Linked DNA regions of Saccharomyces cerevisiae S288C. The gene in region 1 interacts genetically with each later gene. Each region holds a gene or a part of one and is shown in the gene's direction. Other genes may lie near its edges.

Region 1 (7,197 bases):
AGCCTTGGAACTAAGGAAGTATTATTTTTACCACCCAAATATCGACTGATCATCTGATGTGACAAATCTGCTACAGATTCATTAGTAGCCGTTAATTGGGTATCACTGCTACCATTCAACAGGTACATGTGAGACAAATCTACAGAACGAGTTCTTTTCTTTATTTGCTCCTTCGTAAGAGATGTACTCGAATTTGTCTGTCTTAATGCTCCCGGTGACGGAGAATTTGTAGGAGTACTTCCCAAAGAACTTAAGGAAGTATTATTTGAATTATTAAGATGAAGCTGTGGGGGTGGGACTGGAACGAAATCTTCCTCTTGACTATTGCCTATATCGTTTGATAGTAGAGGTACTGACGCAGCTCTAAGATGCTCATTGATAAGCGGTTGGTTTGCCGACCGCTTAGGAAGGTCTGCGGTACTGAAGTCTTCATTGTCCCTGTTTTCCCTATTCTCTTTATTATCTGAAAAATCTTGACCTACCTTCAACGAACTGTTTTGAAACTGTAGGCCCCTGTTATCAAAATTTATATGCTGTGATTGCATTAAATGCTTCTTATATGGATGTACCTGCGGTGAACTTGCCATTTTTTATCCTTTTATTTTAACTTTATCACCAAAAAAGACGAGAACCTGGTAGTATACAATGGAAGGCTTATTAACAGCAAGTCTAAAGTCAAGTGCCAACACCTAGTTTGTCTCTACTCTTAAATCTTACATCATCCTCGAGAGGGTCTGCAGAAAGAATTTTTCGTTCTTTTTTTAGCAAGTCAAAACGCGAAGTGAAACGTGGGAAAATATAACGATGACCTTTCTTAAAACATGCATGAAGACTCGTGAAAGTCATATGTACATATGTCGTATAGATTTGCAGATAGTTGCAACAAATAATTAGCGATTAGTTATGGCCTATACATGGCAGCTAAGTGCGATGGCATGTTCAAATGTATTATATTAAATCAAATGAACTTAAAATGCGATGTTTGGGTGCAAAATATCTATAGATGATAGAGACGGTTCATTGATCTTACGGATCAACTTTGAGATCAGTAAGGCTGACTAGATGGTACAATTTTGTGCAGTCAATGGACTATTAAGGGATCGCAAAGAGGTATGTGCGCCAGTTTAAACGAGGTAAAAAAGAATGACACCTATGGGGTCTCACAAAAGGGCTACAATGACAATTTCAGTGAAAGTGAGGGCGTCCTTCATGGTAGTAAGTCGATGCCCACTAGCATGAAAAATATGCTACAGTCTCCCACGATGGTCAACATGTGTGATATTTTACAAAACAAGGAAGCTGCTAATGACGAAAAACCTGTGATACCTACTACGGATACCGCCACTGCGGGGACTGGTACTGAAGATATTAGCTCCACTCAATCCGAGGAAACTGATCAGAATAGTCATCTTATTGCCTCAGAGATCTTGGAAGGCACTTTCAAAGATGTATCTTACAAGGAATATGCAAATTTCTTGGGAAACGATAACAATAATCAAGTCTTGACTGAGTTTGTAAAGTTATTGAGTCCTTTGCCGTCGTCACTATTAGAAACGCTTTTCAATTTATCGAAAAGTATATATTTCATTGCAGAAGCGCAAAATATCGACCGGATACTAGAGTGCTTGAGCATAGAATGGATAGCTTGCCACCCGAACACACATTGGAAGTCAGGCTATAAGTCATGTCATATAGTCTTATTTTCCCTGTTGATCCTTAATTCGGATTTGCACAACAACTTTCAAGTTGACCATAAAAAGATTAAGTTTTCCATGGTTGCATTTATCAACAATACACTGAGGGCACTAAGAGAGGAAAATGAATACGAAGAATTGAAAATATACTCCCGCGAACATTTGATCATCGAAGAACTTTCCGAATACTATAAAACGTTAAATGAAACGCCTTTACCGTTATGCACAGAATCTAGAACATCAATAAATATATCAGATAACCAATCTTCCTTGAAAAGGTTCTCTACTCTAGGATCACGGGAATTTAGTACATCAAATTTACGTAGTGTTAACTCTAATTCTACTACACTATATTCAAGAGATGGTCAAGTATCTGTACGAGAAATGAGCGCAAAATCAAATAAAAACTTTCACAATAATCACCCCATGGATGCACTCTACCTTAAAGAGTCTTTTGATGACGGTTTAATTACCGAAAACGGCTCCAGTTGGTTCATGGACGATTTAATTCTTATAAGCAAGAAATCTTTACCACGTAAATATTCTAAAAGAGACAAAGATCAAGTGGCGGCACCAAAAATGACCTCTAAGAGAAACAAATCGTTCTTCGGATGGCTAAAACCATCTAAAACGACTACACTTATTGAGCACACATCTAGAAGGACTTCTTTATCGTATTTGAATAAGGATTCTGAATGGGAGAGGGTGAAAATACAGGTCAAGGAGGGCAGAATTTTTATTTTCAAAATTAAACCAGATGTTAAGGATATCATCCAATCAAGTGAAACAGACAGTGCTACCATCGACTATTTCAAAGATATCAGTAGCTCTTATTTTGCTTACTCACTGCTTGAAGCTGAAGCACATGTCGTGCAAGATAATATAATTATAGGTAGTGGAGCAATGAAATCAAATGTGTGTAACAAAAACACCAAGAGGAAAAGTGGCAACTTTACCGTTAGTTTTCCAGAGAATATCAACGGACCAAAGCTTGTTCTGGAGTTCCAGACGAGAAGTGTTGAAGAAGCCCACAAGTTTATGGACTGTATCAACTTCTGGGCAGGTAGGATTTCTCCAGTTCCTTTAACACAATTCGAAGCCGTATCTAACGCAGAATATGGATGGAGTGACAAGATCTTGACAGAGCACGCTTCCCTCAATCTTAAAAATATTGTTGTAAGTGAATGGAAGCCACTATTGGGGCTAGAGCTACTATACGAAGATGCGAAAGATGTAGAGATGGTCGAACTAAAAGAAAGGCTAAAGGAATTGATGAACTTCACCAGACAGCTTGGTATATGGATAGATAAACATAACGAAATAAAGGATAAGCTGGTCGAAATTTGGAGCTTTGACGATAACTATTTTGAAGCAGTCATGAATAATTGGAATTCGAGATATTTGTATATGAATAATCAATATAAGAAACGACTGAGCTACTTGAAAGCTTTGCAAAAAGCCATGGGTTCTGTTCAGTTCTAAGTATATTTAAAGATATAAATATAAAGACTGCGCTGAAGAAATATAAACTTGAAAACTGTACTCTGCCTTTTATTTACAAGGGATATTGAGATGATTTGTGTGAATGAAGTAGCGACAGAAAAAAAGCTTTTATTTCGAGTTCGCATCATTGTCACTTTCCTGCTTTTTCTTGGCGTACTGTCTATCTAAGATAGTCTTTAATATAGCGTCCTCGCCATATTCTTCTTCCTCAATTTTCTTCCATCTCTTTTCTACATCAGCTCTCTTTATTCTACTTTCAATGACAGCACGTTTCTTGTTATTCAAACTTGCCTCCTTGAGACACTTGTTCAAAGCATCCTTTTCGTTGTTACAAAGGCCAAATATTCTCTTGTAATATTCCTTTTGATGGCATTTATCGAGTGCATTGATGAAGTCCAAACAGGCTAAAATGAAGAAGGGGAGAATACAATGTTAGTAAGTCGGAGCACAGAAAAAGGCAAATATATGAAGTAAAATCTGGATACTTACAATGAAAACGTTCAGCTTCTAACTGTGGATGCATGTTGTAGTACTTGTCTTATCTTGCTTTTGTTCAACTGCACTTGTAAATCAGTGAATGTTATTGGACGCGCAGCGATTTTTTAATAGGTCTTTCTCTATTAATGTAATATGCGAATTGAAACATAATGTAAACACAAGAAGAAAATTCGAAATAAAGGACTGGCCAACAATAATGTTAGTGAGCAGAAACGACAAGCCCAAAATCAGTAGTGAGGAAGTCACACATTTTATAGACGACTATAAAAAGAGGAGGAAAACTCAGATGACACGATTCTTCGGAATCACTATTTTTACACTTATAACATGTAGAATTGCCATGAAGAAAATGATAACTGCAAAAGGTATGCATAGGCAATAACTTCGGCCTCATACTCAAAGAACACGTTTACTAACATAACTTATTTACATAGTGCCATTGAACACTTTTCAAGCAAACTACGCCAGCCGGACGCAGACAATAACACACACACAAAAGAGTCTTGCAGGTTCTCTTTTAGCGGCAACGGGCATGACACTAGGTATATTTGGTATGGGCATCACAGGGACATGTTGGAGCTGGGATGTTTCATCATTTCAGGAACTAAAGCAACGTCTGGAAAGGCGTGCCAACAACGAATTTGTAGTGACAAACATGCCTCTGGATAAAAGAAGCCAGCAAGTAGTGGACAGCTTAGTTAAGACACACAATTCATCTCTTTGTAAATAGTGTTATACCATAGTAGTAGTTTCAATAATATATTCCACTACTTATATGTGTTACCCGCATTAGAACTCTTATTGGTGGCGAAAATCGATGGCAATAAAGAACGGAAGGGGTTTAATAGTTGTATGCTTAACATATTTCGATTTAAATATATAAGAAACGTCGGTAGCACAACAATTAACTCATTATTTAGGTATGGCGGAAATACCTGATGAAACCATCCAGCAGTTCATGGCATTGACCAATGTGTCGCATAACATAGCCGTTCAATATCTCTCTGAATTTGGAGATTTAAATGAAGCACTAAATTCCTATTATGCTTCTCAAACGGATGACCAAAAGGATAGAAGAGAGGAAGCACATTGGAACAGACAGCAGGAGAAGGCCCTCAAGCAAGAAGCCTTCTCCACCAACTCTTCGAATAAAGCCATAAATACGGAGCACGTTGGTGGGTTATGTCCAAAACCAGGATCCTCACAAGGTAGCAACGAGTACTTGAAAAGGAAAGGTTCTACCTCTCCTGAACCAACCAAGGGTAGTAGCCGCTCTGGAAGTGGTAACAACTCCAGGTTTATGAGCTTTTCGGATATGGTAAGAGGTCAAGCTGATGATGACGATGAAGATCAACCGAGAAATACTTTTGCTGGTGGTGAAACATCCGGCTTAGAGGTTACAGATCCTTCAGATCCTAATTCATTACTGAAGGATTTGCTGGAAAAAGCGAGAAGGGGTGGTCAAATGGGCGCTGAAAACGGATTCCGTGATGACGAAGACCATGAAATGGGTGCCAATAGGTTTACTGGAAGAGGTTTTAGATTAGGGTCAACCATCGACGCAGCAGATGAAGTCGTAGAAGACAACACTTCACAATCACAACGTAGACCAGAAAAAGTCACAAGAGAAATTACATTTTGGAAGGAAGGTTTTCAAGTGGCCGATGGTCCGCTTTATCGCTATGATGATCCTGCGAACAGTTTCTATTTGAGCGAGTTAAATCAAGGGAGGGCTCCATTAAAGCTCTTAGATGTGCAATTTGGACAAGAAGTTGAAGTTAATGTATATAAAAAATTAGATGAGTCTTATAAAGCTCCGACGAGAAAACTGGGCGGTTTTTCAGGCCAGGGCCAAAGACTAGGATCTCCTATCCCGGGTGAATCGTCACCTGCGGAGGTTCCAAAGAATGAGACACCCGCTGCTCAGGAACAACCCATGCCGGACAATGAGCCAAAACAAGGCGACACCTCCATCCAAATTAGATACGCAAATGGCAAAAGAGAAGTTTTGCACTGCAATTCCACAGATACAGTAAAGTTTTTGTATGAGCATGTGACATCAAATGCGAACACTGACCCATCGAGGAATTTCACCTTGAATTATGCCTTTCCTATCAAACCAATAAGCAACGATGAGACAACATTGAAGGACGCTGATCTGCTGAACTCCGTTGTCGTGCAAAGATGGGCATGAGCATAAATATACAAAAACAGAAACGGGAAAAGACTTCAACTTAATATATAAATGCACGTATATCTATACCCGTAGTATATATCATTTGTACCTCAATACAATTTCAAATCACCTGTTATTTGATCCAATACTGCTTTTGGAGCAGGTCCTAAACCCAATACGGTGGCACTTCCCGCAGCAATCTGTGTTCTACCAGCATCATGAATAACTGCTGCATTCACCCCAAGTGATATAGCCTTCGCATACAACTCGTCCATTGTAAACTTATCTGGACATTTCAACGTTATTTTAGCCTGTCCAGCATTTAGCCATCTTTGTGTCATAATTGGGTTGTATGAAGCACGCGCGGGGTTTGTAGCAATATGTCTAAAACATGACAATGCTGCGTGACAGCATTGTGCCGCTATTTTGCCCTTTGTCATGCCAAGATCTTGACGAATCACCAATGCCATCCTAACTTCTCCAGGTATATCATTCAATGAAGTGGACTCAATATCTTCGTCCTCATCGCTCTCATCTTCGCTTTCACTTTCCTCCTCATCAGTGTCATTGTGTAGCTTTCCTTCCTTCATTTCTTTAGAACGCAGTAAAGTAGCTGAGGATTTCTTAGTTGATGATGCGTTCGACGTACCCAACTGGTAACCCACGGCAAAGGAGATTGCGGTGAAAGTAGCCCATAAAGCTATGGTGTAATTCGAAGAAACTGTCATCTTTTCCATTAAAAAGACGTTATCATGTTACTCCGCTGTCAACAAGTAATATAGCAAGAAACAATTAGCTCTTATGCTTAAGAGCTTCTAGAAGAGTAGTAATAACCTTTAAACATTATTTTCGTCAGGCGTGATATCAGCGAGTTGAAGAAAAAACAACATGGGTTGTCCCTCAAGAGAATAAACTCAAAGGAGTAAAAGGTGTTTAGAGCTTGTTGGCTCGATTGTTGCCACCGGAAGGCCCCTTTCTGTTTTTAGACTATATTCATTTTACTTTTTGAAGTTTCTATTATAGGCAGACGAAGAAGGCCAAGAAGACAAATCGAAGAAAGAGAGAGATAACATGGGTCAAATATTGTCCAATCCAATTATCGACAAAGAGCATCATTCTGGTACGGACTGTTTGACAGCGTTTGGACTATGTGCCATGCAAGGCTGGCGTATGTCCATGGAAGATGCCCATATTGTTGAGCCGAACCTTTTGGCTGAGTCTGACGAGGAACATCTCGCATTTTATGGTATATTTGACGGTCATGGTGGTTCTTCTGTAGCGGAGTTTTGTGGCTCTAAAATGATATCTATACTGAAAAAACAGGAG
Region 2 (9,606 bases), on another chromosome or scaffold:
CAGAATGTGCTCTAGATTCCGATGCTGACTTGCTGGGTATTATATGTGTGCCCAATAGAAAGAGAACAATTGACCCGGTTATTGCAAGGAAAATTTCAAGTCTTGTAAAAGCATATAAAAATAGTTCAGGCACTCCGAAATACTTGGTTGGCGTGTTTCGTAATCAACCTAAGGAGGATGTTTTGGCTCTGGTCAATGATTACGGCATTGATATCGTCCAACTGCATGGAGATGAGTCGTGGCAAGAATACCAAGAGTTCCTCGGTTTGCCAGTTATTAAAAGACTCGTATTTCCAAAAGACTGCAACATACTACTCAGTGCAGCTTCACAGAAACCTCATTCGTTTATTCCCTTGTTTGATTCAGAAGCAGGTGGGACAGGTGAACTTTTGGATTGGAACTCGATTTCTGACTGGGTTGGAAGGCAAGAGAGCCCCGAAAGCTTACATTTTATGTTAGCTGGTGGACTGACGCCAGAAAATGTTGGTGATGCGCTTAGATTAAATGGCGTTATTGGTGTTGATGTAAGCGGAGGTGTGGAGACAAATGGTGTAAAAGACTCTAACAAAATAGCAAATTTCGTCAAAAATGCTAAGAAATAGGTTATTACTGAGTAGTATTTATTTAAGTATTGTTTGTGCACTTGCCTGCAGGCCTTTTGAAAAGCAAGCATAAAAGATCTAAACATAAAATCTGTAAAATAACAAGATGTAAAGATAATGCTAAATCATTTGGCTTTTTGATTGATTGTACAGGAAAATATACATCGCAGGGGGTTGACTTTTACCATTTCACCGCAATGGAATCAAACTTGTTGAAGAGAATGTTCACAGGCGCATACGCTACAATGACCCGATTCTTGCTAGCCTTTTCTCGGTCTTGCAAACAACCGCCGGCAGCTTAGTATATAAATACACATGTACATACCTCTCTCCGTATCCTCGTAATCATTTTCTTGTATTTATCGTCTTTTCGCTGTAAAAACTTTATCACACTTATCTCAAATACACTTATTAACCGCTTTTACTATTATCTTCTACGCTGACAGTAATATCAAACAGTGACACATATTAAACACAGTGGTTTCTTTGCATAAACACCATCAGCCTCAAGTCGTCAAGTAAAGATTTCGTGTTCATGCAGATAGATAACAATCTATATGTTGATAATTAGCGTTGCCTCATCAATGCGAGATCCGTTTAACCGGACCCTAGTGCACTTACCCCACGTTCGGTCCACTGTGTGCCGAACATGCTCCTTCACTATTTTAACATGTGGAATTCTTGAAAGAATGAAATCGCCATGCCAAGCCATCACACGGTCTTTTATGCAATTGATTGACCGCCTGCAACACATAGGCAGTAAAATTTTTACTGAAACGTATATAATCATCATAAGCGACAAGTGAGGCAACACCTTTGTTACCACATTGACAACCCCAGGTATTCATACTTCCTATTAGCGGAATCAGGAGTGCAAAAAGAGAAAATAAAAGTAAAAAGGTAGGGCAACACATAGTATGAATACAAACGTTCCAATATTCAGTTCTCCGGTCAGAGATTTACCAAGGTCTTTCGAACAAAAACATTTAGCGGTTGTAGATGCATTTTTCCAAACATACCATGTCAAACCTGATTTTATCGCTAGGTCTCCTGGCAGAGTAAATCTGATTGGTGAGCATATAGATTATTGCGATTTTTCAGTTTTGCCATTAGCCATTGATGTGGATATGCTTTGCGCAGTTAAAATTTTAGACGAAAAAAATCCATCCATTACCTTAACAAATGCGGACCCTAAATTTGCTCAGCGAAAGTTTGATCTGCCTTTAGATGGTTCCTACATGGCCATAGATCCGTCTGTGTCGGAATGGTCGAATTACTTTAAATGCGGACTACATGTGGCACATTCATACTTGAAAAAAATTGCTCCGGAAAGATTTAATAATACACCCTTAGTAGGTGCGCAGATCTTTTGCCAGAGCGATATTCCTACTGGTGGTGGACTCTCATCTGCATTTACTTGCGCGGCAGCACTAGCCACAATTAGAGCCAATATGGGAAAAAATTTTGATATTTCCAAAAAAGACTTGACCCGCATCACAGCGGTTGCTGAGCACTATGTTGGAGTCAATAATGGTGGTATGGATCAAGCAACGTCTGTTTATGGGGAAGAAGATCATGCTCTATACGTAGAGTTTAGGCCAAAACTAAAGGCCACACCTTTCAAGTTTCCTCAATTGAAAAATCATGAAATCAGTTTCGTCATCGCCAATACTCTTGTAAAGTCTAATAAATTCGAAACTGCTCCTACAAATTACAATTTAAGAGTAATAGAGGTAACAGTTGCTGCCAACGCCTTGGCGACCAGATACAGCGTGGCCTTACCATCTCACAAGGACAATTCTAACTCAGAAAGAGGGAATCTAAGAGATTTTATGGATGCTTACTACGCCAGATACGAAAACCAAGCCCAACCATGGAATGGAGATATCGGAACTGGTATTGAACGTTTACTCAAGATGCTACAATTGGTAGAAGAATCTTTCTCGAGGAAAAAGAGCGGATTCACTGTACATGAAGCCTCTACGGCGCTAAACTGTTCACGTGAGGAGTTCACTAGAGATTACCTGACAACTTTTCCCGTCCGCTTCCAAGTCTTGAAACTATATCAAAGAGCTAAACACGTTTACTCCGAATCCTTAAGGGTGCTTAAGGCTTTAAAAATGATGACAAGTGCCACTTTTCACACGGACGAAGATTTCTTTACAGATTTTGGCCGACTAATGAATGAGTCCCAGGCCTCTTGTGATAAACTTTATGAATGTTCGTGCATAGAAACCAATCAAATATGCTCGATTGCCCTAGCAAATGGTTCTTTCGGCTCCCGTCTCACTGGCGCTGGTTGGGGCGGTTGCACTATCCACCTTGTTCCTAGTGGCGCTAATGGGAACGTGGAACAGGTACGAAAAGCACTAATCGAAAAATTCTACAATGTAAGATATCCGGATCTCACAGATGAAGAACTAAAAGACGCAATTATAGTTTCGAAGCCTGCCTTGGGTACTTGTTTGTACGAACAATAACACTAAACACCTTCTTGGAACAACCTTTAAATATTAAAAGTTTACTCATACCTCTTACACTCTATAAAGAAACAAGTTGGTGAGTCCAATAGAACCCATTCCAGCATCCGATGCAACCATAGCCCGGTTGATGCGAGTCAGAGTGGCTCCGCACACAGAGGTTATGTGACCATGGTAACCGTACACATTTTTCCACGGCAAGGAAGTGGCGCGAAAGAAGCACCGCCCTCCACGGATCACCCCATTTGGAAAAGAACGGAGACATAAAAAAAAATTACCTTCACGCCAGACTATGTATGACTCGTAGAAATCTAGCATCCGCGGAGCTATTTTAAGTTTCCGCGGATGCCTTTCGATCCTTTCCCAGTCGTCTGGTTCCGCGCACATATGACTAAATGTCCGCCCATTTCCGTTTAAATCCGTTTTCTATTTTCTTTAGGTCTTTCCATTGTATTCCCTGCAACCCCGCTGGGTATTGGTATTACTAATAGTGACTACGCAACATCAACATATAAAACAAATGATGAGTAGTGCCCCTCCCTCACCGCTATCGCCTCACCACTTTTTATGCTTGTATATGCTTGTAGATAAATAAATACCTAACGAAAACAATATATACGAACCTAGTGTATTTGTATCTTTTGTTTTTCAAGTTGAAGTGTTGCGAGGTCAAAAAAAAAAAAGCTCACTGTAGGATATAGGAGTTACTATATCACCAGTGCATTACATTCTCAGTGCATCCATCGTCTTCAACATTGATTATTTTCTCCTTCCATTGATTAGAGTTCAAGCTCCCTGAGAAAACGAAGGTATAGCGGACGTACCCGCAGAGACATAAAAAAAGAAAAACTATATCGAAGACCGAAAGCAGTAAAAAAGTGGATAGAATAACACAGCTACCAAAATACGTAAAGAGAATTCAATGAGCAATATCAAAAGCACGCAAGATAGCTCTCATAATGCTGTCGCTAGAAGCTCAAGCGCTTCTTTTGCAGCTTCAGAAGAATCATTTACGGGCATAACCCATGACAAAGATGAGCAGAGCGATACCCCGGCGGATAAACTAACAAAAATGCTGACAGGACCTGCAAGAGACACTGCGAGCCAGATTAGTGCCACTGTGTCTGAAATGGCGCCAGATGTCGTATCTAAAGTGGAGTCATTTGCAGATGCACTATCCCGTCATACAACGAGAAGCGGTGCCTTTAATATGGATTCAGATAGTGACGATGGGTTCGATGCCCATGCCATCTTTGAAAGTTTTGTAAGAGACGCTGATGAGCAAGGCATCCATATCCGCAAGGCTGGTGTTACCATAGAGGACGTAAGCGCTAAAGGTGTGGATGCGAGTGCCCTAGAAGGTGCTACCTTTGGTAACATTCTTTGTTTACCGTTGACCATCTTTAAAGGTATTAAGGCTAAGAGGCATCAAAAGATGAGACAGATCATAAGCAATGTCAATGCCCTGGCAGAAGCGGGTGAAATGATTTTGGTTCTTGGAAGGCCTGGTGCTGGTTGTTCCTCCTTTTTAAAAGTAACAGCTGGTGAAATAGATCAGTTTGCCGGTGGTGTTTCCGGTGAAGTAGCATATGATGGTATTCCCCAAGAAGAAATGATGAAACGATATAAAGCAGATGTTATTTACAATGGTGAGTTGGATGTTCATTTCCCTTATTTAACAGTTAAGCAAACTTTGGATTTCGCTATTGCCTGCAAAACGCCTGCTCTCAGAGTCAATAACGTTTCCAAAAAGGAATACATTGCATCCAGAAGAGATTTATATGCAACCATTTTCGGTCTAAGGCATACCTATAATACCAAAGTTGGTAACGATTTCGTTAGAGGTGTATCTGGTGGTGAACGTAAGCGTGTTTCCATTGCCGAGGCTTTGGCAGCCAAAGGTTCCATTTACTGTTGGGATAATGCCACTAGAGGTTTGGATGCGTCTACGGCCTTAGAATACGCAAAAGCCATCCGTATTATGACAAACTTATTGAAATCAACCGCTTTTGTTACAATTTATCAGGCAAGTGAAAACATTTACGAAACATTTGATAAAGTCACTGTCCTTTATTCTGGTAAGCAAATTTATTTTGGTTTGATCCACGAGGCAAAACCTTATTTCGCAAAAATGGGTTATTTGTGTCCTCCAAGGCAAGCAACAGCTGAATTTTTAACCGCGTTGACTGATCCAAATGGATTCCATCTGATCAAGCCAGGTTATGAAAATAAAGTACCAAGAACCGCTGAGGAATTCGAAACATATTGGTTAAATTCTCCAGAGTTTGCTCAAATGAAAAAAGATATCGCTGCTTATAAAGAGAAGGTCAATACCGAAAAGACTAAAGAAGTTTATGACGAATCGATGGCTCAAGAGAAATCCAAATATACGAGAAAGAAGTCTTATTATACAGTGTCATATTGGGAACAAGTTAAACTGTGTACCCAACGTGGGTTCCAAAGAATTTACGGTAACAAGAGTTATACAGTCATCAATGTCTGCTCTGCAATAATTCAATCTTTTATTACTGGATCATTATTTTACAATACCCCTTCATCCACTTCCGGTGCTTTTTCAAGAGGTGGTGTGTTGTATTTTGCGCTACTATATTATTCTTTGATGGGACTGGCGAATATTTCTTTTGAACATAGGCCAATCTTACAAAAGCACAAGGGCTATTCTTTGTATCATCCTTCAGCTGAGGCAATTGGCTCCACTCTGGCATCTTTCCCCTTCAGAATGATTGGTTTGACCTGTTTCTTTATCATTTTATTCTTCCTATCTGGGTTGCACAGAACAGCGGGATCATTTTTTACCATCTATTTGTTCTTAACCATGTGTTCAGAGGCGATCAATGGTTTATTTGAGATGGTTTCTTCAGTATGTGACACTCTTTCTCAAGCTAACTCTATCTCGGGTATTCTGATGATGTCTATCTCAATGTACTCTACCTATATGATCCAATTGCCTTCGATGCATCCATGGTTTAAATGGATATCGTACGTACTACCTATCAGGTACGCCTTCGAGTCGATGTTAAATGCCGAATTTCACGGTAGGCATATGGATTGTGCTAACACTCTAGTACCCAGTGGAGGAGACTATGATAATTTATCCGATGACTACAAAGTATGTGCTTTTGTTGGTTCGAAACCAGGTCAGTCTTATGTGCTTGGTGATGACTACCTTAAAAATCAATTTCAGTACGTTTATAAGCACACGTGGAGAAACTTTGGTATCTTGTGGTGCTTTTTACTGGGTTATGTTGTTTTGAAAGTGATATTCACAGAATATAAGAGGCCTGTGAAAGGTGGTGGTGATGCTCTTATCTTCAAGAAAGGATCAAAAAGATTTATCGCACATGCAGATGAAGAATCTCCAGACAATGTCAATGATATAGATGCCAAAGAGCAATTCTCCAGTGAAAGTAGCGGCGCAAATGATGAAGTATTTGATGATTTAGAAGCCAAAGGTGTTTTCATTTGGAAGGACGTATGCTTTACTATTCCATATGAAGGCGGTAAGAGAATGCTTTTGGATAATGTTTCAGGTTATTGTATTCCAGGTACCATGACGGCCTTGATGGGAGAGTCAGGTGCTGGTAAAACAACTTTGTTAAATACTCTTGCTCAAAGAAATGTCGGTATCATTACTGGTGATATGCTTGTCAATGGACGTCCCATTGATGCGAGTTTCGAAAGGCGTACAGGTTATGTACAACAACAGGATATACATATCGCAGAGTTAACTGTTAGGGAATCGTTGCAGTTTTCTGCTCGTATGCGTCGCCCTCAGCATTTGCCTGATTCTGAAAAAATGGATTATGTGGAAAAAATCATCAGAGTTTTGGGAATGGAAGAGTATGCGGAAGCCCTTGTTGGTGAGGTTGGTTGTGGTTTAAACGTTGAACAGAGAAAGAAGCTGTCTATTGGTGTTGAACTAGTCGCCAAACCAGACTTATTATTATTCCTCGATGAACCTACATCAGGTTTGGATTCTCAATCTTCATGGGCCATTATTCAATTATTAAGAAAGTTATCAAAAGCTGGCCAATCCATTCTTTGTACGATCCATCAACCTTCAGCTACTCTGTTCGAAGAGTTTGATAGATTACTACTTTTGAGGAAGGGTGGACAAACTGTTTATTTCGGAGATATTGGTAAGAACTCTGCCACCATTTTGAACTACTTTGAAAGGAATGGGGCAAGAAAATGTGATTCTAGTGAAAATCCTGCTGAATATATTTTAGAGGCTATTGGTGCCGGTGCCACAGCATCCGTCAAAGAAGACTGGCACGAAAAATGGTTGAACTCTGTCGAGTTTGAACAAACAAAAGAAAAAGTACAGGATTTAATAAATGATTTATCGAAACAAGAAACTAAATCCGAAGTTGGAGACAAACCTTCCAAATATGCTACTTCTTATGCTTACCAGTTCAGATATGTTTTAATCAGAACCTCTACTTCATTTTGGAGAAGTCTGAATTACATCATGTCAAAGATGATGCTAATGCTGGTTGGTGGTCTGTATATTGGTTTCACATTTTTCAATGTTGGTAAAAGTTATGTCGGCTTACAAAATGCGATGTTCGCGGCATTTATCTCTATTATCTTGTCTGCTCCTGCAATGAACCAAATCCAAGGACGTGCTATTGCCTCCAGAGAACTTTTTGAAGTTAGGGAATCCCAATCTAACATGTTTCACTGGTCGCTGGTGTTGATCACTCAGTACTTGAGCGAACTTCCCTATCATTTATTTTTTTCGACAATTTTCTTTGTCTCATCGTATTTTCCATTAAGAATCTTCTTCGAAGCGTCAAGATCTGCGGTGTACTTTTTGAATTACTGCATTATGTTCCAGTTATACTATGTTGGTCTTGGCTTAATGATCCTATATATGTCACCGAACCTTCCATCCGCTAATGTTATCTTAGGTTTGTGTCTGTCATTTATGCTTTCTTTCTGTGGTGTTACACAACCTGTCTCATTGATGCCTGGCTTCTGGACATTCATGTGGAAGGCTTCCCCATACACATATTTTGTTCAGAATCTGGTCGGAATTATGCTGCACAAAAAACCAGTCGTATGCAAAAAGAAAGAACTAAACTACTTCAACCCACCAAACGGCTCAACGTGTGGAGAGTACATGAAACCCTTTTTGGAAAAAGCTACTGGTTACATCGAAAATCCTGATGCTACGTCAGATTGTGCATACTGTATTTACGAAGTTGGAGATAATTATTTGACACATATCAGCTCTAAGTATAGCTACTTGTGGAGAAATTTTGGAATATTTTGGATTTACATTTTCTTCAATATCATTGCTATGGTTTGTGTGTATTACCTCTTCCATGTAAGACAATCTTCCTTCCTAAGCCCCGTATCTATACTCAATAAAATTAAAAACATAAGGAAAAAGAAGCAGTAATGTGGGCTTCAGATAACTTAACATTTTGTGCATTCATCTGCCTTTAATTCTTAATTCTCATTTTACACTATAGAAGAAGACACGAGTACATCTCGTTTCACTTTTATACTGACATTCATATAATTAACAATAAGTATAGTTTATAATAGATACAAAAAAAAAGTCTTGTATTACCATGTTAATAGTTACATTGTGTATAACTCTCGTAGTTTTCAAAAGTCAAGTCTTGTTGAGTAAAAAAGTTTATTTTACCCTTGGGTTTCGACTCAAAATATTGGATTACGATCTAAGCAAGGTGTTGCAAGTACAAGCTAAACGAAAAGAATAAGACAAAAAAACTGAGGCTCCTCAAACTGGTCACCAAAATTGAACTTCAAATTTAGTGTTTCTACATTTTTTCTATTTTGTTTCATTTTTATATCCCTTTCATATGATTAACAAAACTTGGTAAATTATCTGGCCTGTCAACCCTTACCTGTCCTGTCCCTTCTTTAGACAAAAGAAAATAAAAAAATTGGACACAGGAAAACAACAGCCTCCATACCACAGTTTCTGTGTCTTATTCTATTTAGGAAGGTCATTCTATATTACTCAAAGGAAAGACATCCAGTAGAAACAATAGTGTTGCTAAACGGTTAACTTGCCCACTAATGTCTGCTTATATTTGCAAATCACTATTGTGGCAAGTCATACCCTGGAGCTTTGTGATTGAACAACATATACTATATTGCAGCAGTATTTTTCAGAAATAATATTCGAAAGAAGTGAGAACAAGAAATGACCACGATAGATTACAGCTGACCAACTTAGAAAATGAGTAAACTTATTTTTGTCTTAAGAAGTGCATGCAGCGACCTCTCCCAATTACCAAATTGTAATTTTTTATTATTCTTTTTTTCTGCATAGTTCATTCGACAGCTTGGTTGAAAAGAGTGATAAAAATTTTCTGTTTTATGAAAAGTTTTCATAACTCTATTAAGGGTTGCACTATAAGAACATTTCGCAATAAAGCAACCCTTATCCGGACCCTACATGTTCCGTAAGTCCTGCCTTATTTATCGTAACGGTATTCATCTTACAGGAATTTTTGAATATA

The links. Genes that interact genetically often act in the same process or in processes that back each other up.
Region 2: mutations in IAI11 (region 1) and SNQ2 together harm fitness more than expected from each alone (negative genetic interaction), as found in Saccharomyces cerevisiae (one large-scale study listed by BioGRID).

The regions. Positions count from the first base shown.
Region 1 is NC_001134.8:106,820-114,016, forward strand, and holds IAI11 (Iai11p), read left to right. Parts: upstream 1-3,774; coding exon 3,775-4,060; intron 4,061-4,129; coding exon 4,130-4,425; downstream 4,426-7,197. Other genes in the region: SKT5 (Skt5p), read right to left, coding at 1-587; Arf family guanine nucleotide exchange factor YEL1, read left to right, coding at 1,113-3,176; CMC2 (Cmc2p), read right to left, coding at 3,306-3,601, 3,687-3,720; protein phosphatase regulator SHP1, read left to right, coding at 4,618-5,889; PTH2 (aminoacyl-tRNA hydrolase), read right to left, coding at 5,982-6,608; type 2C protein phosphatase PTC3, read left to right, coding at 6,943-7,197.
Region 2 is NC_001136.10:461,915-471,520, forward strand, and holds SNQ2 (ATP-binding cassette transporter SNQ2), read left to right. Parts: upstream 1-4,004; coding exon 4,005-8,510; downstream 8,511-9,606. Other genes in the region: phosphoribosylanthranilate isomerase TRP1, read left to right, coding at 1-602; transcriptional regulator GAL3, read left to right, coding at 1,520-3,082; YDR010C (uncharacterized protein), read right to left, coding at 3,137-3,469. UniProt on the Saccharomyces cerevisiae protein: Could be an ATP-dependent permease. Confers hyper-resistance to the mutagens 4-nitroquinoline-N-oxide (4-NQO) and triaziquone, as well as to the chemicals sulphomethuron methyl phenanthroline when present in multiple copies.